Oryctolagus cuniculus: one gene and its partner. The protein of the gene in region 1 interacts with the protein of each later gene in a biochemical or structural test. Links are inferred from orthologs where the notes say so. Each region holds a gene or a part of one and is shown on either strand. Other genes may lie near its edges.

What was found.
Region 2: of the proteins of PSRC1 (region 1) and ASB7, one has a biochemical effect on the other in vitro, tested with the Homo sapiens proteins (2 studies listed by BioGRID, with this or other methods). The link is inferred for Oryctolagus cuniculus from reciprocal best matches to the Homo sapiens genes PSRC1 and ASB7.

What each region holds. Positions count from the first base shown.
Region 1 is NC_091438.1:61,141,008-61,156,495, forward strand, and holds PSRC1 (proline/serine-rich coiled-coil protein 1), read left to right. Parts: upstream 1-6,876; 5' UTR 6,877-6,936; coding exon 6,937-6,949; exon of another isoform or gene 6,950-6,966; intron 6,967-7,251; coding exon 7,252-7,305; intron 7,306-7,404; coding exon 7,405-7,462; intron 7,463-7,897; coding exon 7,898-8,339; intron 8,340-8,644; coding exon 8,645-8,759; intron 8,760-8,849; coding exon 8,850-9,098; intron 9,099-9,431; coding exon 9,432-9,525; coding exon of another isoform or gene 9,526-9,529; intron 9,530-9,746; coding exon 9,747-9,750; 3' UTR 9,751-10,321; downstream 10,322-15,488. Other genes in the region: MYBPHL (myosin-binding protein H-like), read left to right, coding at 303-527. UniProt on the Homo sapiens protein: Required for normal progression through mitosis. Required for normal congress of chromosomes at the metaphase plate, and for normal rate of chromosomal segregation during anaphase. Plays a role in the regulation of mitotic spindle dynamics.
Region 2 is NC_091443.1:9,933,452-9,948,872, reverse strand, and holds the start of ASB7 (ankyrin repeat and SOCS box protein 7), read right to left. Parts: upstream 8,536-15,421; 5' UTR 7,874-8,535; intron 7,786-7,873; 5' UTR 7,738-7,785; intron 6,963-7,737; 5' UTR 6,891-6,962; intron 1,108-6,890; 5' UTR 988-1,107; intron 1-987. UniProt on the Homo sapiens protein: Probable substrate-recognition component of a SCF-like ECS (Elongin-Cullin-SOCS-box protein) E3 ubiquitin-protein ligase complex which mediates the ubiquitination and subsequent proteasomal degradation of target proteins.

The DNA of each region.
Region 1 (15,488 bases):
CCGGTTTCCTGCTAATGTACCTGGGAGGTAGCAGACAATGGCCCAATTACTTGAGTTCCTGCCACCCGTGTAGGAGATCCAGATGGTGTTCTTGGTTCCTGGCTTTGGCTTGCCCTAACACTAGCCTTTGAGAGCATTTGGGGAGCGAAGCAGTGTACAGGAAATCAATCAACTTCCCCTTCCCTCGCCCTCTTTGTCATTCTTTCAAATAAATAAGTAAATCCTTAAAAGAGAGAGACTGAAAACTCAGAGTAATTTGTTCTTACTGCAAGCCCTGCTGCTGCTTTTCTTTTGTCTTTCAGCCCAAGATCATCTGGTTGAAGAACAAGATGGATATCCAAGGCAATCCCAAGTACAGAGCTCTCAGTCACCTGGGAGTCTGCTCCCTAGAAATCCGCAAGCCTGGTCCCTTTGATGGAGGCATCTACACCTGCAAAGCAGTTAATGCCCTGGGGGAGGCATCTGTGGACTGTCGGGTAGATGTGAAAGGTAAGGGCAGGAGGATAACTGTGGCCTCAGGGTGCTAATCATCTAAGGCTGGAGAAGTCAGGAGGTACCAAAGATATAAGCCCAGGTCGAAAGGGGTCTCTCTCTCCAGGCCCTCTTTCACTGTTATCATCGAGATGCGACTGAGGAGTCGTTTGTTGTCCCCCATCTTGTTTCTCTGCTTCACAATTCTGTAATACAGAATCAACATTTCCATTTTGCAGAGGAGAAACACAAAGCACAGGGAGCAACTGGTTTACTCAAGATCTCCAGGGCTGGTACCTGAGGAGCTGGTACTATGTTGGGAAGTAGCCTGTATCTCCTGGTCCTCCACTCAGATCATGTTCCTTTAAACTACATATCTTCTGACTCAGTCTAGGAAAGCTGCAGCTGTTTGTTAGGCTTTATTTAACTTTCCCCTCTGCTTTGTTTAAAGGTAATACTGCACAAGCTCCATTCCTTTTAGAATATTCATTTATCTGTCCAGTCCTGTTACCTTATTCAAATCTCCTTAACTGCATTTAGCTTGTTGCTTCATAATGACCTAGTTTCAGGTCTCTTTCTCCATTAAACTGTATGCAGTGTGAGGGCAGGAAGTGTCTCATTACCTGTGTCCCCCCCCCCCCCCCCAAGAATCAAGCCCTGGTGGGCACTGTCTAAATGTCTGTTCATGAATTTACATGTACCATTCTTCTCTCTGTATAACTCCCCTAGCTAGTACCATAACTCTCCAAAGCCCTGAAAGAGAATATTCCTTCCCAATGCTCTGAGGTTTCCCAGAGATTTCTGAGATGTTAACATTAAGAAATGATTTAATTATTGCAGCTCCTCACTGAAGCTACCCAAGAGGACATGGTGCTCTATAAAAGGTAAGAAGAGAGATGGGTGTCTCAATGGATTAGTTCACGTTTATAGCTAATGTTGTCGACTCTGGGACAGATGTGTATTCTGAGCCTTTCTATCAGGTACCCACCGGTGACTACTTTTTTTTAGCCATTTTTTAAAAAGCTAATATTATCATCCCTGAAGGGAGTTTATCATAGATGAAGTTTACGTTTGTCACATCCTTTATATGTTTGTACTCCTTGGGCTTGTAATAGAAATGAAGAGTGATAGCAGCTACCTCACGGGAGGTACTGTGGGAGGGAGTTGGACAGTTACTGCAAGAAAGGATGCCAAGGAAACAGCTGAAAAGTGGAGGAACTGGCCGGCGCCGCGGCTCACTAGGCTAATCCTCCGCCTAGCGGCGCCGGCACACCGGGTTCTAGTCCCGGTCGGGGCGCCGGATTCTGTCCCGGTTGCCCCTCTTCCAGGCCAGCCCTCTGCTGTGGCCAGGGAGTGCAGTGGAGGATGGCCCAGGTGCTTGGGCCCTGCACCCCATGGGAGACCAGGAAAAGCACCTGGCTCCTGGCTCCTGCCATCGGATCAGCGCGGTGCGCCGGCCGCAGCGCGCCAGCCGCGGCGGCCATTGGAGGGTGAACCAACGGCAAAAGGAAGACCTTTCTCTCTGTCTCTCTCTCTCACTGTCCACTCTGCCTGTCAAAAAAATAAAAAAAAAATAAATAAATTAAAAAAAAAAAAAAAAGTGGAGGAACTGACAAGAGTCACCCCACCACGGGTCAGCAGGGAGGGTAAGGACAGAGGAGGGTGTTTCTCTCAATCAAGTGCTCCCACCTCGGGATCATAAGCATGATAAGACACAGATTAGTTTACTACTGTTTCACTTTGAAGTTTATGCATACCTTCTCATCCAAGAGAAGAAAATCACCATTTTTACTGGATAGCAATAATAAATATTTGGATATGTAGTTTCCAGGCAGCACATGACTGGCATAGGGTAACTCAGCTTGTCATTCACACTCAAATCATTACTCAGATCTTGACAGCTCCTTCAACTTCTAAATCATTCACAGCAGAAATATTGTGTACAAAGCTCATGAGAAAATTAAAAAGGACTAGTTCCCAATGTCCCCTATGTCTTGCAGCTCCTGGTTGATGAAAGTTGAGAATGAGTTCAATCCCACAAACCATTTGTTTAAGCCTATCATTGATAGATAGCAAACGAAAACACTAAGCGATGCGTTAGAAGTGCAGACTTCACGGGAGAGCTCTCTTTGCCAGCTGGCTTGTGGAGACAGTTCTCTCCGTACCCGCTTCCCCTTCTCTGTGTTCATGCTGTGTTGTGTTAGTGTTAGTTACCCTCTTCCCCCTCTCACAGCCAGTGCCCAGCAATGAAGCAGGGTAAGTGGTGAATCCATAGCACGGGATCCAGGCCCCATGAAGAGGGAGTGTCTCAGTGTCCTACATGTGCCCTGGCTGTTTGCTGTCATGGCCACAACAGACCCTCTCTTTTCAGTGCCTCCAGGAAGCCTGCCTGTGGCGAGACTATTCTTAAGGAGCTTCAACACAATGTCTGGTTTGAACTAATCTAAATAAACGTGTGGATCCTCTGTGCATAAAAAACCATCTGTTTGAGCCTTTCTATATGGGAAAACATTGTGAAAATTAGAATCTTTCAGCCTGACTGGAATGTCAGGACCCTAAGATTCTTCCTTCTCTTTCCATAACCACATTCTCTTCCACAGAGGTTTCTGATGCTGTCCTTTGCCCTAGACAGTCTATGACAGAACTGAATTCACCTCTGCAGTGCTGAGTGTTAAGGAGAAATATTGAAGATGACTTGCTCTCTTCCTCTGTGGGCTTTCTAGGGTAATAAGAGTGCACAGGGCTCACAAAACAGCAACCAGAAATACAAGCATAGTTAGTTAAAGACAGAGCCCTAAGACCTGAGGGCTGAGATGGTACTGAAGAAACTGAGAACAGAAAGGGAGGCCTGAAGGTGAGGTTCCCTTATCTTTGTTTCCATTCTTACAACAAGTAAGATATTGAAGGCATTTTGTAATGGAATCTACAAAAGACAGCTCCCATCTTTGGGCATGATGCTTTTTCCATCAAGAGTTGGGGGTCTAGGTCTCTTTCCCGTGAATCATGTCACTTGCTTCAATCAAAAGAATATAACAAAAGTGTTGCTCTGTCAGTTCTGGGCCCATACCTTAAGAGAGCTGGTAGTTTCTGCTTTTGCTCTTGGAAGTCAGCTCCTGTGTAAACAATCTCAGGCTAGATGGCTGAATTGTGAGAGGACACGTGGAGGGCAACAGAGCATCCTAGCTGGCAGCCAGCACTGAGGCCCTCGATGGTGTGACCACCTTGGACCCTTCACCCCCATCAAGGCCAGTCAACACCTTGTGGAGCAGTGACACACCATCCCTGCAAAGCCCTTCCCCAGCTGCAAAATCAACAGCAAATATATGATTGCTGTTTCCAGCCACTAAATTTTGAAAGTGGCCTGTTACATAATAATAGATAATTGAACCAGCCTTCTATGTATCAGGCTTGAACTAAGTGCTTTGTCTCTTTTCATCTCCATTTTACAAGCACGAATTTAAGCTTACAAATTGCCCCAGGTCATGCAGCTGACAAGCAGCAGAGCTATGATTTGAACCAGATCCTCTCACCTCTGTCACCCCATCCTCCAGCCACCTTTGCAGAGGGTCTAGGTTGGAATCATGGGTTTTAAGAAAGAAAATATTTGTAGAAGACAACATTAGACAGGGTTTTGAGGAGGAAAGGAATATGATTTGGCTGAGAACAGTGTGAAGGGCTTTTCTGTTCAGACCAAACATCCATTTTCAAGTGAAAAACTGAATGTGTCTATTCCATCCCTTCTCAACTGGAGCTCCATGAGAATGAAGCCCCCAGGCCATAAGGCATCCATGTATGTCAGAAATCAGCTTCTTCCGATGAACCTAGAATGTTACTAGTTATGCACCATCCTCAGGAAAACAGAGAAAACAACCATGCAAATCATTTGCAGGACCTACTGTACTCACAGAACCTCTGCTTGAGAATGGAGGGGGAAGGGTCAGACTGCAGTGCCAGCCAGGTACAGAGGGGCTATGAGGTCTCCTCTAGTTGAAGCAGGGTCTAGGTCAGAAAGGGGTGAAAAACCTCGTTATGACGCTCTAAGGACCAGTCAGACCTTGGGCCTCAGCCCTCAGTCCCTGCCTTTGCTATCTGCTGAATTACTTAAGGGCCATCCCTTAACAGTCGTATGTTCTCAACTTTTACAGTGAAGGAATAAAGTCCTCACACTGAGCAAGACCTCCAGGCCCAGTCAATCCTTCTGCATCTGCACAGGCACAGCATCCTTAATGTTTTCTTCTATACACATGACATTTGTGGAATACCTGTGCCGGGCTCTCCGTGTGTGTGATTTCTTTCTTCATTCACGTTCATGCAAAATCTTAAACACTCACTACTTAGGGTGAGGTGAGCGCAACACCCATCAAATATTTCCAGATAGTGGCCTTATGCTGAGAGAAGAACTCTTGTACCTGAAATCTATACTTTTCGGCTTTACTGTTATTTTGATGGAGGAAAAAGTAGTGTTTTTGTTTTTGTTTTGCTGGTACTGCAACAGCTTTCCAAATAAAAACTTGGTGACAGAAAAATTGGAGATGAATTTCCTTAAAAGAAACTCACCTCCAATTTGCTAAAACTTACTTCCCCGGTCACCTGACTGGGTGCAAAGAGGAGTTCCCTACTCCGGTCTGCTACTAAGGGAAGGAAGCCTCTTGCAACCTCCTCTCCACTTTGCTACTACTCGCCTGGACACAGGGAAGCTTCTAGCTCTGGTTTTCTCACCCTCCTTATGATATCGGACGGCTCACTAATAATTTTCTATATTCATAAGCCTGTGGGCTCTTGCCACATATTCAGAGAATAATTCTAAATACTGGCTCAAATAGACCAAACATGGTAAGTTTTTTTTTTTTTTTTTAACATGGTAAGTTTTTAAGGATTTTATTCAGTGAGAGAAACGCGCAAAAGAGTGAGGGCTTTATTTAGGGGAGAAAGAAGCTAAGTTGGGTCCATACCAAGCAGAGAGCAGGCCAGGAGCAAGCCACATGGAGCAAGCGTATAGTTATGAGCAGCCACAGGTAGCTTAACACAGCAGCAAAGCAAGGCAGACAGCAAGCCAGTAGGCCCCACGCCCCAAAGGCGTGTGGAGCAAGAGTGAGCCCACTGTGTTCCAGGCCCATTTATTTGCTCCCAAAGGGGGGAGTGGTTACATCGTCTGATCGGCAGGTAGGTGTCCAGGCGAGGTCACCTAAGGGGGCATGAGATCACACAGGGGCTTGGTGAAGGTGTGGTCTCCAGTTTAGGAACCTGATTTGATCCTATGTGGCTGCCTACATCACTTAGAACCCGAATCGTGCAGCCAACACCAATCCTCTTCCCCCCGCTGGGATTCCTCACATATATTTGCACCTTCCTTTAACACCCCACTAAGATCCAAGGCTCCTTGGCTCCCGGTGGCATTTCTGACAGTCACCAGCTCACTCCTGCTGCTAAACACTACAGGAAACACAGACGCCTCCGGGTCACCAACTCCGGGGACTAAAGCTCGGGCTCTTTGTTGACGGGGTAAGGCCTCAGCCTGTCTCAGGGCATCGCTAACAGCTGACCCGGCCCATTTACAGACAACATCCCTAGTACGCAGGCTTCCACGTTACCGACACAAGCTCTCAGTCGGAGTCGGAGGGAGCCTGCGACTAACCCTGCCGGGCCGCGGGCCAAGCCCCGCCTGCCGCGCGTAGTCCCCGTCAGGACAACCGGGACGCTTTGCACCCAAGCCCGCCCCGCTCATAAACGGAAGCGTCAGGGTTGAGTTCGAACCTCAGTTTCCCTGTGAGAAAACATAATTTTTCCTTCACACCTCGCCTGCTTCAGGTTCCAAAGTTCTTGCTTAAAATCGTAATGGAGGACGTACGTCTTGGGAGACCTCTCAACAAGAGCCGACCTAAAATGGCCATGTTTAGTTACTTCCTTAACTTGTAAAAAAAAAAAAAACACGTGAAGAAACCTGGCAGACGCGGCGCTCGCAAGCTGAGCGCGTTCGCTCTGGCCGAGGGCTGCTCTCAACGACCCACCGACAAGCAGCAGTCTTCAGCTGCCTCACCGCGGCCGCGGCGGGCGGAACAGCCGCCCAATAACGCCCTGGCGCGACTGCGGCGGCGCGCTGAGCCCACACTCATTGGCCCGTTCCCTCGCGCGCCGCCACGAGGTCCCGCCCCCCTGGGCCAGGTTCCCCTCTGCTCGCCGCCTGGGGGTGGAAGCCAGGTCTCCCGGACGCGCGCGCGCACGCGCTCGCGGTCTTGCCCCATCGCCCCGCTCGCGCTCTCCCGGATGGAGTCATCCTGGGACCTGCTCCAGGTCCGGCCCCCACCTGCAGACTTCCGGCCGGCCGCCTCAGCCCCACCTCTGATGATCCACCAATCACTGTGCTCGTGCCGCAGGAGTGGGTGGGGCCTGAGAGATTCGAAAGGAGCCCCGCCCCCAGGAGCCGATTCCCGGGACAAGGTTGTGGAAGCAAAGCCTCTTCTGTGGATGGTGAGGTCGGGTAGGGAGTGGAAACAGGTGGGCTGGAGGTGTGGCGTGGATGTGGGGCCGCGGGGTGGAAAGGAGGCTTAGGAAGAGGAAGAACCCAGGAGATACTGGTGGGGAAAAGGAGAGGACGTGCAAACAGCCTCCGGGCACAGCTCGCTGCAACTTTTCCAGAGGGAGGGGGAGATACAGGCCCAGGTGCTACTCCGGGACGCTCGCTTTGCCTCCTGCCTGACCCCTGCCCCTGGCTTGCACCTTGAGGCTAGCGGGAGCCTTGGGCAGCATGGATGCTTAAGCAAAAGTACGGTTTTTCTCCAGCCGAGATCAGAACTGACTCGCTCTCCTGGCTAGACATGGAGAATTTGGAGGAAGGTAAGGAAACCCTGGGGGGCGGGAGGGGGGAGATGAGTCCCTGGGATTGAGAGCCCCGTCAGGGACCTTCAGCTGGCGTTCAATCTTCTTGGCCTCCAGATGTAAAGTTTATTGTGGATGAGACCTTGGACTTTGGAGGGCTGTCACCATCGGACAGGTACCAGCCTCTTGATCCCACTTGTTTTCCTCCAACACCACCTCTATGTATCTCTCTGCTCACTGCTGAGTCCTTGGCCCCGGAGCTTGGGTTGGCAAGTTTTGGTGCACTTAGGCTGCTGGGTGGCTGACTCCAGCCTCTCTGATGCTACCCATGAGGAGCTGAGAAGGGAGAAACTGGAGTTTGATTTTAGAATGTTAAGAAAGGCAGCAGATTCGCTGCATCTTCGTTCTGACATCATCTGTGATGTCAGTAAAGAGTAAAAGCCCTGCTAGACCTCAGGGAACCAGGTATCTCGTCACCCAGAAGCCAACATGGACCTCAGGACTGTGGTGTGTGTGTGTGTGTGTTGGGGGGGTGTTCAGGTTCCATTGCACAGAGTCCCTGTCTCCTGCTCTCTTTCGTGCGGGCATGGTGCCTTGTTTTCTGTCTCAGTCGCGAGGAGGAAGACATAGCAGCGTTGGCAACTCCAGAGAAACCACTCCGACGGGGCCTTTCCCACCGAAGTGACCTGAATGCAGTGGCCCCTGCGCCCCAGGGTGTGAGGCTCAGCTTGGGCCCCCTCAGCCCAGAAAAGCTGGAGGAGATCCTCCATGAGGCCAACAGGCTGGCGGCCCAGCTGGAGCAGTGTGCCCTGCAGGAGCGCGAGAGCGCGGGCGAGAGCCTGGGGTCCCGCCGGGTGAAGCCCAGCCCCCGGCGAGAGACCTTCGTGCTGAAGGACAGTCCTGTGCGAGACCTGCTGCCCACGGTGAGCTCTCTGGCTTGGAGCACACCCTCCCCCAGCAGCCTGACGCCTCGACACCGGAGCTCCGATAAGAAGGGCTCCACCAAGGCTCTTCGGGCAGCATCTGGAAAGAGGCCCTCTGGCCTCAAGAGGGTGAGTTTGGGGGACTGAGCGGGATGTGTGCCTGCAGGCACTGCGTGTGACATGCTGCAGGCATCGAGTGGTCTGCTCTCGGGGGCAGGAAGTTCTCCCTCTAGAATTGTTGGAGGTACAGATGCCACAGCAAAGCGCTTGCCACAGTGTCCGGGTACCAGCTCTGTAGTGTCCATGAGCAGCTAACTTCCGTCCTTCCTTGCTGTGGTCTCAACAGCTCCCAACCTCTGTCCCCGAAGCCCCTGGGCTCACAGAACTGATCCCTTCTCCATTCTAGTCATTGTCCCCCTCTCTTTGTGTTTCAGGAATCGCCCACTTGCAATCTGTTCCCTGCATCCAAAAGCCCAGCGTCTTCTCCTCTTGCCCGATCAACTCCTCCAATCCGGGGGAAGGCTGGGCCCGGTGGGAGAGCGACAGCAAGTGAGAACTCCTGGGCCGCAAAGCTGGGGGTGAGTGGGAGGAGGGAGGATGGGGAGCTAACCCTGAAATTCCTCTCCTCCTCTCCACCAGGCCAACCTACCCCTGTCAGAACGGTCCTGGCCCCACAGCCCGCTACCAGCAACTCTCAGCGCCCGCCCCGGCCACAGGGAGCAGCTGCCAAATCTTCCAGTCGCCTGCCGATTCCCTCGGCCATTCCCAGACCTGCCAGCCGCATGCCACTCGCCAGCCGGAGTGGGCCACCTGGCAAAGGTGCCCTGCCTCCTGATTCTGTGTCGACACGAAAAGGGCTTCCCAGACCAAGTGCTGCAGGCCACAGAGGTGAGGGGAGGTGGACATGAGGGTAAAAAATTGGGAGGAAGAATACCTATACCAGACCAACTTGACCTTACCCTGCAAGAGCTGGCTACAGCAACCTCTTCCACTGTCTGTATTTCCATGCTATTTGGAGATGGGGAGGCTGAGTTAAGAAGAGAATGTGGGATTGGGCAAAGAATTTTAGCCTTGAGTTCCAAATACTCATGGATTTAACCTTTTAGGGGATACCGATCCCCGACCCACTCTGCCTTCACTGGGGATTTGGTTTTGAGAAGTCAATTGAAGTTTCTGCTATTTATCTCTTTTGGTAAACCTCCCCCCACCGCCCCCATCAAGTTCCAGTTTCCCAGCGACCAAATCTTCCTGTCACTGGTGCCACTCGGAACAGTCTGCAGCCCTCCAGGAAAGTTGCAGTCTCAGGACCTACGAGGTAAGACTGGTTCCCCCAATGCACCATCCCTAGCATCTGGACTTCCAAGCTGATATGCACGTCAGCCTTGAATTCTGTTTGGAAAAAGGGAGGTGAGGAGGGAGGCCTGGAGCGGGGTAGGAGGGATCCTGTTCATCCCACCCTGAGGAGCTTGAGCCCAGCTGGGTGACGGTTGGGCTGAGGAAGAAGGGCAATTTAAGGATGCTCCGCTGTCTCTTTAGGTAAAGAGATGGGACCACAAGCAAGAACTCGGTAGCAAAGCACTACACTCACTGCCTGAACTCGTCTGCACTCAGCAGGTCCTGACTCCAGCCGATTCTGGCCCAGGGGCGGGAGGAAGAGACACCACCAGGGCCAGTCCCCAGGAATAGAGACCAGAGAGGATGAGGTGGATTAGGGCTGAGCTGGAGGAGACTCAAACTCTCTGGGTTGAAAGAAGATTAGTGAAAAAGAGGTCACTCCCCAGCAGTGAAATTAGCAACCAGCAAATGAGAATGGCAGGCAAGCCGGGGTCCACATCCACCTCCGCTCGTGCCTCCCGCCCCAGAGGTTGGTCTTCCTGCCTGGATGCAGACGTGTGATTTACCTGTGAACGGCCTCTGGGGCTGACCTTGAAGCTCTCGGAGGAGCAGGCTTCCTGAATCACAGCCTCTGCTGGACTCAGCTGGAGACAGGCACCTGGGCTCCAGAACTCGTTTCCTATGAATTCCGTGAGTTCTCACAAGCCAGTTTGTGACAAGCGTACTCCACTAGTCTGCGTTTTTCTAAAATAAAATGTATTTTTATATGCTCTGTAGACCTGAAAGTCAATCTGCTCAGTTTCTAACAAAGTTGAGTTAAACTTCTCTGTAATTTGGTGAAGGAGCCTGGGTAGGCCTGCCGGGGCAGAGGCTCCGAGAGGCTCCAGGGCCTTGACACTCCAGTAGTTAGGCTGCGACCGACCCCCTTGTTGCCATTGGATGGGAGCAGGCCGCCTTTCCCCCAGGAGTCATAGTGTTAGAAGTTCCAGATCAAAGTTGCACACAGCTGAATTTAGTGTGGAAGGCTGTTAAGCCCTGACCTAGGGAAGCTACTTCTGTCCTGAATGGAGCCTCTTAGGAACCTATCAGCTTCTCAGCCTGCTGCATGTGGGGAAGAGGAGGCCTTCTGGTCGTGGTCAGCTTCCCCGCGTGCCCCAGCAGATGTTGGAATGGAATACCTCGTCACTTTCTCAATTACATCATGCGAGTCGTCTGTGTCCCTTCACCTCCCCTACCGGACTTGAGGGCTGGAACCAGGATTGTACACCTCTTCGTTGCCCTGGTCGTGTCACTTGTACACAGCAGAGCATTTCATTAATTTATTCAGAAAATATGTGGGTACCAGATGGTGGGGGGTTATTGCATAGAGAAGACTCAATTGACAGTTTTAGTTTAGGGTCTCCTATTGGAGGCAGCCTTGGACACTTGCAACCAGAACCGACTTCATTCCTTATGAATTTTCATTTCTATTTGAGAGACAGAGCTGCCAGCCCCTGGTTCACTCCCCCAAATGCCTGTAACAGCTGGGCGTTGGCCAGGCTGAGGCCAGGAGCCAGGAACTCAATCCAGGTTTCCCACGCAAGGACCCAACCACTTGAGCCATCACATACTACCTCCCAGGGTCCACACTGGCAGGAAGCTGTGGTCTGCAGTGAGAGCTGGGAGCTGAATGCAGGCACTCCAATGGGAATTGCAGATACCTTTTTTTGTTTAAGATATATTTATTTATTTGAAAGGCAGAGTTACAGAGAGGCAGAGAGAGAGGTCTTCCATCTGCCAGTTCACCCCCCAAATGACCGCAACAGCCAGAGCTGGGCCAATCTGAAGCCAGGAGCCAAGAGCCACCTCCGGGTCTCCCATGTGGTTGCAGGGGCCCAAGGACTTGGACCATCTTCCACTGTTTTCCCAGGCCATAGCAGAGAGCTGGAACGAAGTGGAGCAGCCAGGACTAGAACTGGCGCCTATATGGGATGCCAGCACTGCAGACAGCGGCTTTACCTGCCAGGCCACAGCGCCAGCCCCTGTGTAGGTATCTTAAACATTAGATCAACCTTGTCCCCCTGGTGAGGTTTGAGGGAGTTTCCTTCCCTGAAGGCCTGGCCATAACTTAAGGAAGGCAGCAGGCAAATGGGAATGCCAGATGGTCTGTCCCCATCAGCACCCTGCTTAGACATTGAAGTGCCTTCCTGGTGTTACTGGTCATGGAGGGGAGGGTGGTTGTCGGAGTGAGTCTGGTGGGTTCTTTTCCTCAGCTTAGTATAGAAATAAAAAGCCGGGAATTTGCAAAGAGGTAGAAACTTTTTTTTTTTTTTTTTTTTTTTTTTTGACAGGCAGAGTGGACAGTGAGAGAGAGAGACAGAGAGAAAGGTCTTCCTTTGCTGTTGGTTCACTCTCCAATGGCCTCCGTGGCCGGTGCACCGTGCTGATCCGAAGGCAGGAGCCAGGTGCTTCTCCTGGTCTCCCATGGGGTGCAGGGCCCAAGGACTTGGGCCATCCTCCACTGCACTCCCTGGCCACAGCAGAGAGCTGGCCTGGAAGAGTGGCAACCGGGACAGAATCCGGCGCCCCGACTGGGACTAGAACCCGGTGTGCCGGCGCCGCAGGCGGAGAATTAACCTAGTGAGCCATGGCGCCGGCCAGAAACTTTTATTAGAAAAGAAACTTTTTTGATTGGCAAGTGACAGAGAAAGCGTCTGGTCCGAGAGGAGAGCAGGCGGAGTGCCCGAGTGGGACACCGGCATTGAGGGAGTGTCTGGGTTTTTAAGGCATTGCCGTCTGTTCATTGGGTCATCCTACTGGGGATGCCCATTGGACAGGGGTTTCACATACGTATGTTGATTGGCTTGGGGCTCAAGGAGATAGCAGGGTCTCCTGGAGACAGTCCGTCTCCTTAGGGGCTCAGCTCCCTCCTCTGCTAGCTCTGGGTGGAAGATTGCAACTAACTTGAAGGAATTATTTAAAACCGCAAGGTCACACAGGATAGCCAGGGTCTCCTGGAGCAGGTCCGACTCTCCCCAGGTGCTCAGCCCCTCCCCTGCCAGCTCTGAGTGAAAGCTTGCCCCCACCCAAAGGTGTGATTCAAGGCTGCAGGGTCACACATGCAAGCACAAGGAACTGTTAGTGAGGGAGATGCCGGTTGGCCTAGAGACATGCTTTCCAGCCACAGCTGATAGCTTGCTTATAAAGGAAGTTCTACCTATGTCTGAAGGGGCCCGCAGACCCCCTAGCCCCATTGGCCGGCCTCACTTTGCCCCTGGCGCTTTCCCCTTTCTGTTTCTATTGCTGATCTCAAGGTTCATTGAACGCATTCCCCTGCATCGCGGTGACAGCTGCCCAGCCCTCCACTTCTGCCTGAGCCTCTTGCAGCAACTGCACGTACCTGGGGGATTCCAAGCATGGATGTGGCGGTGGGAGGCAAAACACAGTGTCTGGCTCTGGAGAAATGTAGCATGAGGCCAAAAACAAAAAAAACCAAAACCTCAGGTGTGTTTCTCAGCTTCAGTAAGCAGGGCCCGTTGTGGACTTCTGGCTCTGACCGAAGCATGGAAGGTCAGCAAACCTAGGTAACCACCTAGGCATGGCCGGCAGGTGGCACGAGCTGGTGGGCTGGGTCTGAGCCAGCGGGCGGGTCGTGAACGGCGAAGCCGCAGCAGAGGCATGCGCTCTCGCCACCTGGCGGCTGGCGAGGGCAAGGCATGCTGTACTCTTCGCTCTTCCTCGCAGTCTGCAGTTTTGTGCCCCTTCCCAGCCCCTCCCGCCCCAAAGCCGCTTAGGCAGCAGTCGGTAGGCGGTGCCCTCCCCGGCCAGGTCGTGGCTGCACTTGGGGGCTCAGCGACCTGCCGGCCTCCTTGCCTTCTGGCCGCGCTTTCCGTTTTCTCTATGTGCTCCTGCCACCACATGCAGTAGCAACGAGAGCGCCAGTGTTTATTGGCCTCTTACTGGGAACTGCACTAAGCACTTTACAAGTGTTAACTCATTTAATTCTCATAAAAGCTCAATTAGGCAGCCGCTGTTATCATCGCCCTCATTGTGCAGGCAGAGAAACTAAGGCTGAGAGAGACTGAGTCACTCGGGCGGGTTCCAGGGTTCCAGCATTCCAGCCTCCCCGGGAACTCCCTCTCTGGTGTGTTGGGTGGAACTGTGACAAACACCGAACTAAAGACGAGAATTAACGATGGACATACTTGACTACAGAATGAGTAGTTGCTTTGTTTTCCAGTGGAGGGAAAAAATTAAAACGGCCCAGAACAGCGGAGTTAGAAGGCTCTAGGCACCGAGTGCCCTTCAGGTCCCCGCAGCCTGTCAACTCAGCCCTCCCTGTCTCCTGAATTCACCCCAGAAAACGTGTCCCTGTCCAGGACTCAGCCACAGCGGCTGGGCTGGAAACCTGTCTGCTGGGCGCTTCCTCCTGCCCTGCCCACCTGCCTCCTTTTCCCTGGACACGCCCAGGACGTGGGCTCTGTTGAAGCGGCTATTTGGAGAGCATGGTCGGGGACATCTGCGGAGGGGCCACTTACCATCCAGCGGGTGTCTCAGTCCCCCTGACCTCCTTGTGGGGCCTCCTGGGGTTTTCCAGAGAAGGCCTGCCCTCCCCCCAGCCCCCAGGCTCTGGGAGGACAGGGTGCCACACAGACGCACATGATGACAGCACGCCACCCGCACAGAACTAGTTTATTCAGTAGTATGGGGGATGAAAAAAAGCCAACAACAACAAAACTCTATTTACAGTAACAATCAAACTGTAGGATCTGATGGTTAGTATCAAGTTAGCATCCAGCATCTTTGTATCTTTTTAAGTCAAGTCATCAGTAGTAATAACAAGTTCCATTCTTAACCCCTTGCAGGAATTGCTGAGGGGAGAGGGCAGGGGGCGCTCCACCACAGGAAGCTGGAAGCCAGCCTTACAGATGAGCACCAGGGACGTTCCCTTCCACCCCTGGCCTCTTTGCTAGCCACCTGCTCCAGAGGGAAAGCCAGGGACAAGTCTGGAGTACATGCTCAGAGTACAGGGAGACTCAAATGAACAGAGTTGGCAAAATGAAGAGGAGGAGGAGGAAGAGGAGGAGGAGAGGTGGGGACACAGTCTGGAGCGAGGACAGGGCTCTGGGCCCCCGAGCCAGGGCTGCTGGGGACACACCCGACCTGCGATGGCCATACCACACCCCCTGGGACTGGACATGAACCCATCCCAGCACAAAAAGCAAATAAATAAAAATATATATTAACTCTCTCTCCGCAGGGAGCTGGGGTGGCACAGGGGAGAAAGAGGGACAGGACCTGGTCCTTTGAAGAAGAGAGCCAATTCCAAGAAGGGGTTAAAAGTCGAACCTGTCTCAGAGGCCACAGCAAGTCAGACCAAGTGGCCTCGGTGGGATGTGGGGAGAGCGGGAGTGGACACCGGAACCCACACCTGAAATCTGTGCTTGAAGCCCGCCCTGGGCAACTGAGCCCCCCACCCCCAGGCCCCACTGTGCTTACTCTTCCTCCCAGCCCCACCTAGGCGACAGCAAAGAAGCAAAGAAGCGCAACTTAACACGTGACTGGCCTTCCCCGGCCGGGCCAGGGCCAGGGCGGGCAGGGAGAATGAAGCACTTTTGGGTCAGCAAACTGAGCAAACACCTGGGCTGCAGCCCGCAGCCAGCAGAGGGGCTGGGGTGGCCCGGCCCCTGGCTGGGGGCGCAGACTTCTCTCCGAATGTGTTCATGCAGCATTTGGGGGTCCGGGGGCATTGAGTCCTTCTGCCCCCTCGCCGGATAGGGCCTTTTCAGTTCCTGGGAGAGGTAGCACAGGCTGAGTGACCCCTCGCCACACTGAGGCCCGCCCGGGAGCCGCCGGCAGGGTTTGAGCCCTGGGCGCATGTGGCTTTGTCCTTTCCTTTTGGTGATGGCAAGTGAGGGGGCAAGCCCCCAAGAGTCACTCTCCTCCCAGAGGCACGGCAGATGG
Region 2 (15,421 bases), on another chromosome or scaffold:
ACTTATCCTGGTCTCCCATGGGGTGCAGGGCCCAAGGACTTGGGCCATCCTCCACTGCACTCCCTGGCCACAGCAGAGAGCTGGCCTGGAAGAGGGGCAACCGGGACAGAATCCAGCGCCCCGACCGGGACTAGAACCCGGTGTGCCGGCACCGCAAGGTGGAGGATTAGCCTAGTGAGCCGGCGGCGCCGGCCCAGTGGGATTTTAAGTTAAGTACATACAGAAATCTAAACTAACTAGCTTCCAGGAAGTCATTCCAAACTGGGCTAATTTGTAGAAGACTAGACTCATCTCTTAACAAGTACCTTCCATTTCTAAAAATAGAAAAAAACAATTATGTGATAAAGCTCTTTAAAGACACTGTGCTCTCCAACGTGGATTCAGGATCTCAGGATAGTCTTGCTACTAACAGTAATGTATCTTGCAAAACCTCTCGTTACGGACTGCACACGGGTAAACGGAAGCCCAGCTCGGGTCGAATCATTACAGATGGCGTGTACAGGCACCTGATGGTGCTCTCAACAGAGTCGGGGTCTTCACTCAGCCCGAAGCGTCACTACCAAGTGGTGGAATTTTGTCACATGACTGCTATCGAGCGCCATTTTCTCCGAGAAAACCAGGAGATGAGAGACTTAACAACTTGTTTCCTCGGTAAGATTTCCCTCACTCCTTCACTTAATGACAAAACTAAAGTCTCGTCTCAGAAATTTTGAAAGAAAATAAGGAATCTTGTCGGAATAGGTCTTTCCTGATTCTTATCGTAGTCCGCGTGTTAAAGGCCATCAGAGGGAGTTAATGGGATCTACGGTCGCACGCTCAGACCATCATCTTTCAGATTCTGCTGTGGTGGCAGACCGGTCTACCGTGGCAGAGGGTGAATGCGGCGATGCAATCCTGAATTTTCTTCCAGCACACACTGGCTGGCTTAAAGGAAGAAACAGAAAGCTGAACAGGTGGTCTCCCAACACAGCCCCCGCGTCACCTCACCTGACGGAAGAATGTCCCCTCTCCTGGTATGTGGATTGCCTAGTAACCATTGTGCACATACAGCATGGTGGGGATGGGCTCAGTGTGCGTCCTCCGGCAGAGCCCCAGAGCCTTCTCAACCTGCAAGCAAACAGAGTAAGAACCGTGGGAAACTCCTTGAGCGAATCCAGAACCAGAGCTGCCCGCGGGGTCTCGGCACTTGACGGCAAATCCAGAGGGCTGCGGACGCAGATCAGTTCTTTGACAAAATGCTTTCGTCACTTACGTATTAATCTCCAAGATGAAATCAAACGTGATTTATTTTCAGGATCCCTCCCTCCCACCGGATGGCAGCTTTACAAAAAAGATTAAGTGAAGAAAAGAATAAATCACACATTCAGGACTTGTAGGTATGCACGAATTCTTCTTCCTCTGTTGAGAATATATTCCCAGACTGGCTCCACTTGTTTCTGACACCATGATCACCTATTCTCTCTAAAGAGGACTAAAACGAGAAAGCTTGTGCATTCGATACAGAAGGTGGCCGGCACGAAAAAGCAATCTGCGGTGATTCTACCTTTAAAAGCCACTCTTCGTGTTCTCCGAAGACACCAAGCCCCTCATGCTGAAACGGACTCCTCTATGAAGAAAGACGGCAGACTCAGAAAAACCTTAACAGTCTTGCCAGCTTCCCCGGGATTCTGAGAACACTCATGTGTATGGCGCGCTTCCTCCCTGCCGACGAAATCCTAGCTCTGCGCTCCACTAGGGTTAGGGCCACATGCACAGTGACTTCCACACAGCAGGAATTACGTATGGGAGCCCCGCCGCACCGCTGCGTGGTGTGTGGTGTGCCAAGCCCTCTGTCACCTGCACCTTCAGGAGAGGCAGGGCCAGGCCTCCCGCCGGCTGCAGGTCTCCATCCCGGCACAGGCACAGCCCCGTCTGCCTCGTCCTCTCTTCTCACCTGACTCTCCCTTGTCACACTTCTTCAGGGAAGGCAGAGAGCTTACCAACTTGTACTTGGAAACAGAATGGGATTTAAAACTCTAGTATTTCTAACTACATGAGCTCGACACGATCAGATTGACTCCTACAAGGCACTGTGTAAAACGCACAGAACCACGTTCCGTACGTGCCGGATTCTAAGACTTGGGCAGGAACTTGGAGGCTGGCCCTGGTGCTGTCTTGTACACCGGTCAGCAAGGAAGCGCCCACAGAACAGCGGCAGGACGGGGCATGACAGAGGGACGGAGGAGCCAGCTCAGAGAGCTCCCACGGACAAGGCGGGATGATCTGGGCAAGGAAGCGCTTCAGGAAGTCTGGATGGAAACCCAAAGTGTCACGTAACTTTCAGTGAGTTCATACTGACACAAATAAATAACTGCCTCAGTTAAAAAATGGAGGAGAAAGGAAGCTTGTTCTAAAATTCAGAAGCGCATGGACAGTCCCCACCCCTGCCAAGGTGGGGCCACGTGAACCAATGACAGACGGGAAGCAGGTATGGAAAACACGTGACCTCTGTCCTAGCTTCTGTAAACCTACGGTGAACTTTATTTCTAAAATGGAACTGTCTCTGATGACGAGCTCACACGCTCCTGCAGAAGAACCTGCGATCGTCCCGGCGGGAGCTGCAGGACCACCCCGGATGCCTCCCGTCTCTGTGTGCCCTCACACCGTCTGCCTCCCACACGGAACCTGCGATCGTCCCGCGGGAGCTGCAGGACCACCCCGGACGCCTCCCGTCTCTGTGTGCCCTCACACCCTCTGCCTCCTGCATGGAACCTGTGATCGTCCCGCGGGAGCTGCAGGACCACCCCGGACACCTCCCGTCTCTGTGTGCCCTCACACCGTCTGCCTCCCTCACGGAACCTGCGATCGTCCCGCGGGAGCTGCAGGACCACCCCGGACGCCTCCCGTCTCTGTGTGCCCTCACACCGTCTGCCTTCCGCACGGAACCTGCGATCGTCCCGCGGGAGCTGCAGGACCACCCCGGACACCTCCCGTCTCTGTGTGCCCTCACACCGTCTGCCTCCCTCACGGAACCTGCGATCGTCCCGCGGGAGCTGCGGGACCACCCCGGATGCCTCCCGTCTCTGTGTGCCCTCACACCGTCTGCCTCCCACAGGGAACCTGTGATCGATCGATCCTTTCCCGCGGGAGCTGCAGGACCACCCCAGACGCCTCCCGTCTCTGTGTGCCCTCACACCGTCTGCCTCCCTCACGGAACCTGCGTAATGTCCCGGCGGGAGCTGCAGGACCACCCCGGACGCCTCCCGTCTCTGTGTGCCCTCACACCGTCTGCCTCCCGCACGGAACCTGCGATCGTCCCGCGGGAGCTGCAGGACCACCCCGGACGCCTCCCACCTGTGTGCCCTCACACCCTCTGCCTCCCGCCCAGATCCTTAGGGGCGCTGCTGGCTTCTGCCTCCCTGTCACCACCGCACACAGGCAGCTGGGCTCAATGGGAAGGGGCACGCAGGCCGGAGGCCGAGAGGGTAAAACAGCAGCAACTTGGTAGTAACGCCAGGAAAAGGCCTGGCGTGCAAGATGAGCGACGAAATGATTTCTCACACAAGCAAGACGCACAAACAAGAGCCCTTGTGGTGACTGCACGCGACCGACTGGAGTCAGACGAACGCCCGCTGAGTACCTGGCCTGCGCGGCCCGGTGCTTGTCGCGGCCACGGCAGTCACCTTTGTGTGATGTCCTAACACAGTGTTCTGCAGACCCCCAGTGAACTTTAAGATTATTTATATATAATCACCATAGGTTTAAACCAAAACAGCGCCTGTGGCATGTGCCTGTGTGTTGATATTCATGGGGTAAGACGTGCGGGACACACACATGACCCCGGCCACCTCGTCACTTGGAATCACAGAGGACAACGATTTACCAGAGAACCGTCAACAGTCAAGTGACTAGTGTCCTCTGGCTATTTCATGAGATCTGCATCTAACAGAGTACAGCTGTTCACCTGTGCACAGAAAAGGGGCGGGGAAGACTGCAATTTAAAAGCAAATGCAGCATCCAATGGTAAAGACGCCTATTAAAAGCCACCGAGGAATTCCAGAGATGAGAACCGGCAAAGCCCCACTCCCCCTGAGGGAGCGCACGCTTCAAAATCTAATACGGTCCTGCAAGCCACCTACGCAATGAAGGGACACGGCCAAGGAGGCCAGTGTCCCGACAGCGGATGCACGTGTCAGCCGTCCTACACCAGGGTGGCTGTGGACCCAGGAGAGGACAGTCTTCAGAGACTCCAGGCTTCAGTCAGAAAACAAAAAAGCTGCACACAAACAAGCCTGCACAATCAAAATGAACCATTTTCCCAACATACGTCGTTTTACCCAAAGTCTCACTGCCAATGCTAATACTATGCGTCGGTTTCGCTAATGCATCTTTTCCCACTCCACGTGAGATCAATAGAAAACAGGCTTCCAGCTTTTATACCCTGGACCATATTAGAAACTACAAATTTAGGGATTTAAATACATTACCACCTGATTTCCATAGAGCTGCCACGTGAACTTCATTTAAAGGTAAGACTTCTCACTTCTTACAGTGGACAGAAAAAAGTCTATGCTGATAGGATAAGGCGAATGGTAAAAACAACCATGAAACAGGGGTGTTCAAGACCTGCCCAGCATCACACAACCGTCACCAAGGCTGGTCGCACATCTCGTTTCTCTGGAATAACTGATTCATGGTATTTGTGGTATTTAAGGTATGTATGGTTTTTCTGTTTATTATTCTCACTGAGAGTCCACGCATTTTCTGAGCAGGTGACACAAATCAGAACTGTGCCTTCTGATTGCACACCAGCTAGGAACAAGGCAGCAGAGTAAATCACGGTGCAGGCCGCTAAGGGAGTGAAGTCAGTGGCTCTCGGACATCCTGCAGCAAACACCGAGAGGCCAGACCAAAACACACGAGGGCTGCCCAGCCCTCCTGGTGTGCTCGAGGGCCCAGCACCCAAAAGAAAGTCGATGTGTTATGTCAGCGTCACTCGCTACAACCAAGGGCTGATGTTCCTAAGCCAGTGAGGGGATTTCTACTTCCGCCCCGTTACTGGGCATCCGTATACCTCAGGATTTATTATCCACGACTTATCTATGAGTCACCCGAGTTCCAGTAAAAACACACACATTCATGAAACGTGGATGAGGCAATAGAGGAAGATTGAAAACTCACTTATCCAGATCCAGCTCGAAGCTTAAGTCACAAACACTATAAACGACGAGGTCTGGTTGGCCCTGTCTTATTAACCACGTCTGCCAGTATCGGCTTAGCAGCCTCCTATGTCGCTGCCTAGGGAATCTGTGGGAAAGAGGCCATCGCTCCACTTGGGGAGTGCACTTGGCTTCGCCTCCCTTGCTCAGAGTGAAGAGAGAGGCTGGAACTCAGGTTAGCAGCGATGAGAATATCAACTCCACCCAACCTGGACTTTTTACAGATGGTTTAAACCTCTGCACCACCAAAGTCAAGTGAGAATGAAATAGACACACCTTATGCAGCACGCTGACTAATTGAGAATGACATCACTTTCAGTATAGAAAGCACAAGTCTTGGCCATAATACATCTAGTGATACTGAACAGGTATCGCTGAATATCTTCCATTAAAAACAATTCTGCAGCAGGTGCTCGGCCTGGCAGTTAAGATACCAGCGAAGATGCCCACAGCCCGCATCCGAGTGCCCGGGTTAGATTCCCGGCTTCGGCTACTGATCGGAGCTTCCTGCCAGTGCAGACTCTGGGGGCGGCCGTGGAAGTTCAAGAAGCTGAGTCCCTGCTGCCCCTGTGGGCGACCTACATTGAGTTCCAGGTTCCTGGTTCAGCCCAGGCCAGCCCCGGCCACTGCAGGCCTTTGGGGAGTGAACCAGAGGATGGAAGCTCTCTCCAACAACAACAGAATCCATTATCCCCTGTGTGATCACAGATGTGTGTCTGGTTACCAAGCAAACCAGATGATTTATTTTTCCCCCAAAAAACCAAGCAACTGGCAACAGAATTAACACCAAGGTAACCGCCAGGTTGAAACACATCAACTACCTAACTGACCGTGTCGGTAAATAAAAATACTCACATATTTCAGATGTTCGGCTTCACCTACATCAAACATTCTCAATCATGCTAACATTAGAAACGTGACAGACGCTGACAATTCTACTGGACATTCCCTAATCTTAGAAAAAGCATGAGAAATCGAGAGGGCACACGAAATACTGCTGAAGCAGTGAGAACGACCTGGCTAGACAACCGGAGAAAGCAAGGTTCTTTCTTTACCTCAAAGCTGGAGAGGCCCTGGGTCCCTCGCCTACCATCTTAGCTGGCAAAACCCCTCAGCAAAGTAAACATCCCAGAAACCTAGTGCCTCAGATGCTGACTAAACGTGAAACAGGAAAAGGTTTGCAAAGGAAACACACCTCAAATGCTCTAGCACGGCAGAGTTTTAATCATTCGATGTCTCTGGTGATCTCCATACGGCCACAAACACAAGTGCACCTGAAAAGGAGCTACCCCTGGCTCCCCACACGCACACCCAAGGCTGCCTTCACCCTCCCTCGGAGCAGCACCCTCGTTACAAGTCTCCCACATCCTCCCTCGGAGCAGCACCCTCGTTACAAGTCTCCCACGGCGTCCAGGTCTCCAGACCCCGCTACAGTGTCTTCAGCCACATGTAGAGAATCAGCAGAGACGTCGTGGGAGCAGAAGGTCTAGTGACCCAGAGGAAGTCACCAATCTGAATCTCTCCCAAGAACGTCTTTGCGCCAGAAATTCCCTAAGTGGTCAGCAACATCAGAACAACTCGGAGGCGAACAGGCTGCCTTTCACTCTTGCTACGGGAGGTGACAAAGTCGCGGCTGCCGTGAGACCTGACTTCCGAGTCCGCCTCGCGGGGACGACACTAACGCTCACTTACCTTGGGCGGATCTGCGAGGCAGCGGCACACCACGCAGCGGCACGTGAACTAGACACGCAAAGTCTGTAAGAGCTGTGAAGCGAGAATCTCGTTTACGAAGTGTTGCCACTGGAAGCCCCACATACTTCAACACATCAAACGATCTCTCTGGTTTGGTGTTTTTTTTTTTTTTTAATTTTTTGAGTGTCAAATGACTTAATAACACATTGTGCAAAATTCTATCAGTTCTAGAAGATCTTCGGTGTAACAAACTCCAGTCCCTTCCTAGTCCACCTGTATCGGTCACCCAGAAGCCGAGTTCACGGTCCCCAAGTGCTCCCACTACTGCTGCCTGCACGAGGAAGGTGCACAGATCCACTTCTTAGTAGGAAAAAAAATCAAAATTATTTCCTAAAACAAGCCATTAATTTCCCTTCCCCTACCAAAGGCCGTCCCCTAGCAAACCCCAAAGATTTCCTGGTGGAGGAAGAGGCAAGGGGACACGGGAAGGGGTCGGGGAGAGCAGTAAACTGCGGGTTAATTAACACGCAGGGTCCTTCAGAATTAACGAGCAATTAACACGGAATTGAGGAATTCCTCCGAGAGCAAGGAAGCGGGGGTCGCTACCCGAAACCTCTCAAAGCCACAGGGCAGAGCTCATGCAAAACGCGGAAACACACGGGGCCGGGCCCTCGCAGGGGTGAGAGCCGGCTCCGGCGTGCAGGAGTTATCGGGGCGCCGGGGTCACGCGTGGGCAGCGGGGCCGGGAGAGGGTGCACTCCCAGGCAACTGCCCCCCAAATGCAGCCCCGCGCGGGGGGGGGGGAGGCAGGGATGAACAATGGGGGAGGGGAGGCCCGGCTCCTTACCTGGCCGCAGATGCTGGTGCCCGGCTCCCCGCCGCCGCCGGCTCCCACCTGGAAAACAGCAGCGGCGAGGAGGGGGCTCGCCCCCGCCCACCCTCCCGGCCGGCCCCGGCCCCCCGGCGGAGGTAACTGACTTTACCTGTCCCCTCAGCTGCGGCCCCTCTCCCTCCTTTGCGTCTCCTCCACACTCGCCAACTTCTCCATTGAAGAAACACCCCAGGCAGGGCCGGACGCGGGGGCTCCCCTCACGGCCCCGAGCCGCCGAGCATCCGCACCGCCGAGCAGGCGCGGGGCGGCGGTCCCGGCGGCCGGGCAGCCTCGGGGCAGGGGTGCAGGGAGGAAGTCCCGGCTCGGGTGGGGGGGCAGTCCCGGGCCAGGGGCTCGGAGCAGGGGCTTGCCGCACTCCGGGCCGGAGGCTTCCAGCTGCGGAGGGACCCAGGAGGTCGCGGGACAGCGAGGTCCCGGGTCATACAGGGGCCCAAGTGCCAGCAGCGGGGTCTCCGGACTGGGGGCTTTCGGGATGCACTTTGCACTGGGCCACCCCCGCCCCCTCCCTCCAGCACTTTGGGGTCACTGGGATGGGACCAAGCCTTCAGCGACCAATCAGCGGCCGCCCTGGAGCCTGAGCCCGGAGCCGTAAACCAGGTCCGGGGTGGGTGGGGGTGGGGGGTGGGGGCGACTTGGTTGGTTGGTTGCTTCCTTCTCTCCTCCTTACCCCGGCAGCCCCCACCCCCTGGATGCCGTAAAGCTGCCTGCGCATTCGCGACAGTTGGAGGAGGCGTGCCGATCTGGGCTGGGACTCGTTTCTGATTGGTCTCACTTGCTTCCCCCCCCCCCCACCGCGGCTTCCCCGCCGTGGCTTCCGAGGCTCCGCCCCTGGCGGGGGGGACTCGAAGCGGTTGCTAAGAGACGCGGTACGCTGAACGCGGCCTCTGCGCATGCGGGGGGAGGGGCCATCGTGTACTTTCCGTGAACTACGGTGGCCCGGAGAGGGTAGGGCTCAATGGAATGGCGTTGCGAGTGCGGAGTTCCGTGAGCAGGGTTCCGGGCAGGTAACCGGGTGCTCTCGCTGGGCTCGGCGGCGGGGGCGGCGTGCGTGCGGCAGGCTGAGGGGCGTAAAGGCTGTGGAGGCGGCAGTTGCGAGCCTTGACCCGTCGCTCCCCAGCGCTTGGGAGACGCAGGTGCCTGGCGCTGGTCGCTCTGTGGTTCCCCGAGACCCCGTTAGCCACCGGGCTGGGGGTGGGAGGGAGGACCGGTGATGCCGGCCCGGGCGCTTTCCGGCAAGGGTAGCGACCTTTCGGAATCGTGTGTGAGGGGAAGGCAGAGAGAGCGAGCCGCGGACTCGGGCTGGGAAGGCGTCTCCTGGGTCCGCGGCGGTGTGCTGACCCGGCGGCTGTTCCCGGGCGCCGGCCCGACGTTTGTGCCTTCACCGTGACGGGGCAGGCGGCGAACGCGCAATGGCCCGGGACCGGGCGCCGGGACGTCGGGGGTCGTGGCCGGCTGGAAAGTGACCTTGGAGCGGGCTCCGCGGCAGGGCCTCCGGAGGGAGCTTTGCTCCTGACAGACGCTGCGAGAAGCACGGCCGGCGTCGTGGACGGGAGCGGTGCGGGGCTGCGGGGCTGCGGGGAGGTCCCTGGCTGCTCTGCAGTGTGCGAGGGATGGGCTGGGCTGGGGTTCAATCACAGTTGACCGTGTCCAGTGTCCTCAAAGAAAGCCTTCCTCCTCCGTGTATAGAAGAAACATGCACGGACATTTTGTGGCAGGTGGGGTCCAAGGGTGGCGTTTGTCCCCCGCGGTCATACCCAGCGCCGTGCACACGAGCTACCCGTGGATGGCTTAGCTGGGCCCTGGGCTCCGTCCTGTGCTGGGAAACTCCTGATCGAGGTCAGGCGGCCGTGCGGGGAGGTGGACGCCCTGACCGGGGCAGACCGGGCGTGCGGCCGCGCTGGCTGACCCCGAAGTCGACATGCGGGAGGCTTTCCGGGGCTGCTGGTGTCTGTCTGGAAGGGTGCGGGCGGGTGGGAGGAAGCGGAGCACATCCTGGGCACCCTTAAAGTGCCCCCGAGAGCTTATGGGGCCAGCGCTGCGCCCTAGCAGGTGAAGCCCTCGCCTGCGGTGCCAGCATCCCACGGGGGCGCCAGTTCAAGTCCCGGCTGCTCCACTTCCAAACCAGCTCTCTGCTGTGGCCTGGGAAAGCAGTGGAAGATGGCCCAAGTCCTTGGGTCCCTGCACCTGTGTGGGAGACCGGGAGGAGGCTCCTGGCTCCTGGTTTTGGATTGACGCAGCTCTGGCCATTGTGGCCAATTGGGGAGTGAACCAATGGATGGAAGACCCCCCCCCGTGTGTGTGTGTGTGTGTGTGTGTGTGTAACTCTGACCTTCAAGTAAATAAATACATCTTTAAAAAGAAAGAAAGCAAGCCAAGAGTTTAATTTATGGGACACAGAGGTGAGAAGACCCCGGGAGTCAATCTTGAAGAGCCAGGGAGACCGGCTGATGGGTTTGGGGACTTTATCCTAGGAGAGTTGAGGGCTTTTGAGAAGGCAGTGGGCATAGGATGGGCCAAGATGCGGCCACTCAGGGAGGCGCCTGCAGCAGGTGTCCAGGGTGGAAGGGGTGGGGGGTGGGGGTTGAGACAGGTGGGGTGTGCAGGAGAAAGCCAGTTTGAGGGCGGATGGAAGGGGTTGAGTTTGCGTGGAAGGGGCCTGTGGGCCTCCAGGAGGCATCGGGGACTTGAGCCCAGCAGAGAGCCAGGCCCTAAAGGTGGGGGTACAGGTTGAGTGTCCCTCGTCTGAAAACCTGAAATGTCCAAAACGTCACATTTAACATTGATTTTGGGGTTTGGAATGGGATGCTCCCAGCCTGCAGAATTTCCAAGATCAGAAAAACCCTGAAATCTGAAATACAAGCATTGCAGAGAAGGGAACTCTACCTGCAGTAACCGAAGATCTCAGGAGAGGCAGGATGGAGGGACTGAGCACTGAGCACCTGCAGGTGCCACGTTTAGGATAGCGGAGGAGGGGACCCCGGAGGAGGGGACCCCGGCAGGGTGGCCGAGCGCTGAGCCTGCAGAGGGAGAGGAGCCACTCCAGGACAGGCTGACTTGTCAAGGGTTGGCGTGTATTTTGGGGAAATACCATGTTTTTGGCAGAACCATTTTTTCACAGGAAGACTGAAATGTCTGAGATGCCCATTTTTCCTTTAAAGATTTGCCCCTTGGGCCAGGAACTGAACGATGAAATCACACATGGAAAAGCACACTGGTTTGTAGGAAGAGGGGCATCCAAACGTGCGTTTTCTGGAGGGACCCTCATGCATGGTAGCGGGACGTGGGCATCAGTTAATCGATAATTAAATTAGCATGCACATCTGGTGAGCCCCAACGTTCTCTTTCCCTTGATCTGTGTAAGACTTTTCTGAAAATACAAATTCTTGGAAGAACAGCCTCACCACAGGCACGGAGTGGAAAACCCAAGTTCTGTTTCAGTAAGAGCCAGGTTCCAAATCATACATGAAAGTCCTTCTTCTCCGGCCAGCACACCGTGTAAGGCCCGTGGAACCATGTGGTCTGTCCTTGCCAAGGAGGCCTTCGGCAGGACTTGAAATTCAGTAAATCTGTAGCAGGCTGATTTCTAAGCGGATAACTTTGTGTGGCCTGTGAGTGATGTTATAAATACCCAAACAGCCCTTGGCAGGGAAAAGTCTCCCTACCCCTGCACAGCTGAATTCACCCAGAAAGTGCAGTTATCTAAAGGTATATTTGAAAGAAAATACATCCGAGTGTGGGAGCAGCTTGAAACGAGAGGTTTTGCCCAGAGTGTGGAACAGTGACGCTCAGAACGAGATAATTCTTCCTGAAAAAAATAATCACATAAGTCCAGCTTTGAGGGGCTGGCGTGCGGCCTGGCAGTTGGAATGCCTGCAGTCCACATCTGAGTGGCGGGGCTCAGTTCCCAGCTCCAGCCCCCGATTCCAGCTTCCTGCTAATGCTGGTCCTGGGAGGCAGCGGCTGATGGCTCAGGTGGCTCAAGCAGTTAGATCCCCACACCCCGTGAGAGACCCAGGTTGAACTCTGGCTTCTCGCCTCAGCTCTCTCCACCCCACCCCACCCCCCCCCCCCAGCCATTGTGGGCATTTTGAGAGAGACTGTGGATAGCATTTGATTTGTTCCCTCTGCCTCTCAAATAAATAAGTAATTTTAAAGAATAAATGTTAAGGATGCCACATATTTTTGGAAGTACAATTTCTGATATTTTAAAATCAGCTCTTAGGTGTTTGCCCTGTTAACACTTCTCAACAGTCACGTTTCATAAGTTCAAATTTCTAAATTTTCCTTTCTCCTTCGAGTAGATAGTTGAATCATGGTGAGATGCTAGATTTCAGCGGGGCTGGAGATGGGTCAGCTCCAGTCGGGATTCCTCCGGGTTCAGTTACAGAGACAGGCGGTTTGGGCCGTGCTTGTCATACCTCCTTCTCCAGTGACACCTTCGTGTCTCGGTCCCCTCCACAGGGCTGAAACGCTGCCTGTGCTGCTAGACTTCGTCCCTGGCTCCTCCCTGGTGCCGTCGCTGGCTCTCGGGAGCCTTGATCTCCACGTCACACCTCTAGTGCTTTAGGGTTATGGGATTTCAGACATACGAGCGGCTTTAGGACCTATCTGCTCTCAGATTTTCCCAGTGTACAGTGGTATTTTGCTGTTGTGTATTGAAATGTCTGAGACGCCATTGTCTTACACTAAACGCCTACACTAAGCTGGCGGACCAGACCAAACCAGAATGGAGGCACCAGTGTCAGGTGCCACATAAGCAGGCTGGACTTGAGATGGTCCAGTTTTCTTTCTATTTTTTTTTTTTTTTTTTTGACAGGCAGAGTGGACAGTGAGAGAGAGAGACAGAGAGAAAGGTCTTCCTTTGCCGTTGGTTCACCCTCCAATGGCCGGCACACCACGCTGATCCGATGGCAGAAGCCAGGTACTTATCCTGGTCTCCCATGGGGTGCAGGGCCCAAGGACTTAGGCCATCCTCCACTGCACTCCCTGGCCACGGCAGAGAGCTGGCCTGGAAGGGGGGCAACCGGGACAGAATCCGGCGCCCCGACCGGGACTAGAACCTGGTGTGCCGGTGCCGCAAGGCGGAGGATTAGCCTAGTGAGCCACGGTGCCGGTGAGATGGTCCAGTTTTCTAAACAGCCAATGACTTCAGAGGGGACCTGGTTTACCCAAACCATTGAGATACGGAAGTTTCCCTTCAGGTGGTTTTTTTTTTTTTTTTTTTTTTAACATTTATTTATTTTTACTTGAAAGAGCTACAAAGAGAAAGGAAACGAGACGGACAGGAGGTCATCCAACCACTGGTTCTCTCCCCAGATGGCTGCAACGGCCCGGGGCTGGGCCAGCCCAAAGCCAGGAGCTTCTTCTAGGTCTCCCACATGGATGCAGGGGCCCAAGCACTTGGACCATTCTCTGCTTTTCCCAGGCCATTAGCAGGGAGCTGGATTGGAAGTGGAGCAGCTGGGACTCAAACCAGTGCCCATATGGGATGCCAGTGTCTCAGGTGACTGCTTTCCCCACTATGCACGGGGCCGACCTTGTTTTACCAAGTAAGGAAAGTCTCTTGGAAACAACCGATCCACTTTTTCTTCTCCCTTTCCTGCTTCTGCCGCCCTTCCTCCCTGTTAAGCCCCTCCTCTGCTCAGCTTCCCAGAACCCTCTCTAAGAGACATGCTGCCCATTTCACAAATTACCCTCTCTAAGAGACATGCTGCCCATTTCACGAATTGCTAATAAAAGCCACTTAGATCTTCAGATTGGTTGCAATTTTTAACACTGGAGTGAAATTTACAAGTTCAGTTTCACAACATTTACTGATTATAGAACTGGACAGTATTGAACTCCAAAAGGAATGAAACAGAGTAGTGAGAGAAGTGAATAAATGATGTGAATGATTATGTAGAGTGTCTTACAGTTTGGTCCCCTGTTCAGAGTGCTGGGGACCAGAGTGGTGCAGATTTTGGACTGTTTCCTCTTGGATTTTGGCATATTTACATGTAGAATTGAGAGCATCCCTAATCCAAAAATCCGAACTCCAAAGCCCTCTGGAATTCAGTGCTCAGAAATTTCGTATCAGGGGGCCGGCGCTGTGGTGCAGCAGGTTAACACCCTGGCCTGAGGTGCCAGCATCCCATCTGGGCGCAGGTTCTAGTCCCGCCTGCTCCTCTTCTGATCCAGCTCCCTGCTATGGCCCGGGATGGCAGTAGAAGATGTCCTAAGTCCCTGGGCCTCTGCACCCAAGTCGGGGACTCGGAGGAAGCTCCTGGCTCCTGGCTTCGGATTGGTGCAGCTCCAGCCGTTGCGGCGGCCATCTGGGGAGTGAACTAGTGGATGGAAGACCTCTCTCTCTGTCTCTACCTCTCTCTGTAACTCTGTCTTTCAAATGAATAAAATAAATGTTTAAAAAAAAGTATCAGATTTCAAGTATCAGATTTCAAGTTTCAGATTTTTGGGTGAGGGGCACTCAACCTGTAGCAGCCCCAGCACCCATGTGTTGAGATAGTGTGTGTGCCAAGTGCTGGTTCCATGAGGGCCCAGGTGGCTCCTGGGAGCTGACTTGTCTCCTGATTCCCAGCTCATCCATACTCCTGGCCATTTGTTTTTCCCTCAAAATCCCGTCTTCAAGTTGCAATAATTTTTCAAATGATTCATCATAAGGAGCATCATATTGCCACAATTTCATAGAATGTGCTACAAAATCATTCCAAATTCCTTTATTGACTTGGTGGTGTCAAATTGGTAATTTATCTTCCTTCCTTCCTTCCTTCCTTCCTTCCTTCCTTCCTTCCTTCCTTCCTAAAAAGATTTATTTGTTTATTTTAAAGTAAGAGTTATGTAGAGAGAGAGAGAGAGGTCTTTCATCTGCTGATTCACTTCTCAATTGGCTGAAATGGCCGGAGCTGGGCCAGTCCGAAGCCAGGAGCCAGGAGCCTTCTCCAGGTCTCCCACGTGGGTGCAGGGGCCCAGGGATTTGGGCCATAGCAGAGAGCAGGATCGAAGTGGAGCAGCAGGGTCTCGAACCAGCGCCCATATGGGATGCTGGCACTGCAGGCAGCAGCTTCACGCGCTACACCACAGTGCAGGCTCCATGTAATTTTCATATTATAACTTTTCATTGATTTAAAAGCAGTTTAGATTGACTAGGTTTTGACAGACATACTTTATTTTTCATTTACTTAGGCAATAAAGTCCACAGAAATATTAATCCTAATGTTACAAAACATATAAAAGAAGTAATTCAGCATAAATGTTTATGGAACTTAATTCCTAAAATATAAAAGAAGTAATTCAGCATAAATGTTTATGGAACTTAATTCCTAAAAACCCTTACGAAGCCAGAATTGAATTTATTCCCTGAGTAGCGGAAGACTTTGGCGTTGGACAAATACCCAGCCACCTGCACCGCGATTCTGATGCTGCTGATCCCCAGGTGTCCAGGGCTTGGGATTTTCCTAGTGCTGCAGGGGTTGTGGTGTGGCCAGGGTCAAGGGCCACTGCCCGGAGGCTGTGTCCTGGCCCTTGAAGCTCATTGTGGTGGGGAGGATGAGCAGTTTATGTTCGGGGAGATAGCAGGCAGCATTCTGGGGCCACAGGGGTTGTCTGGAAACCTGGGTGCGGCAGGTAGGGCCACCGTGAACGT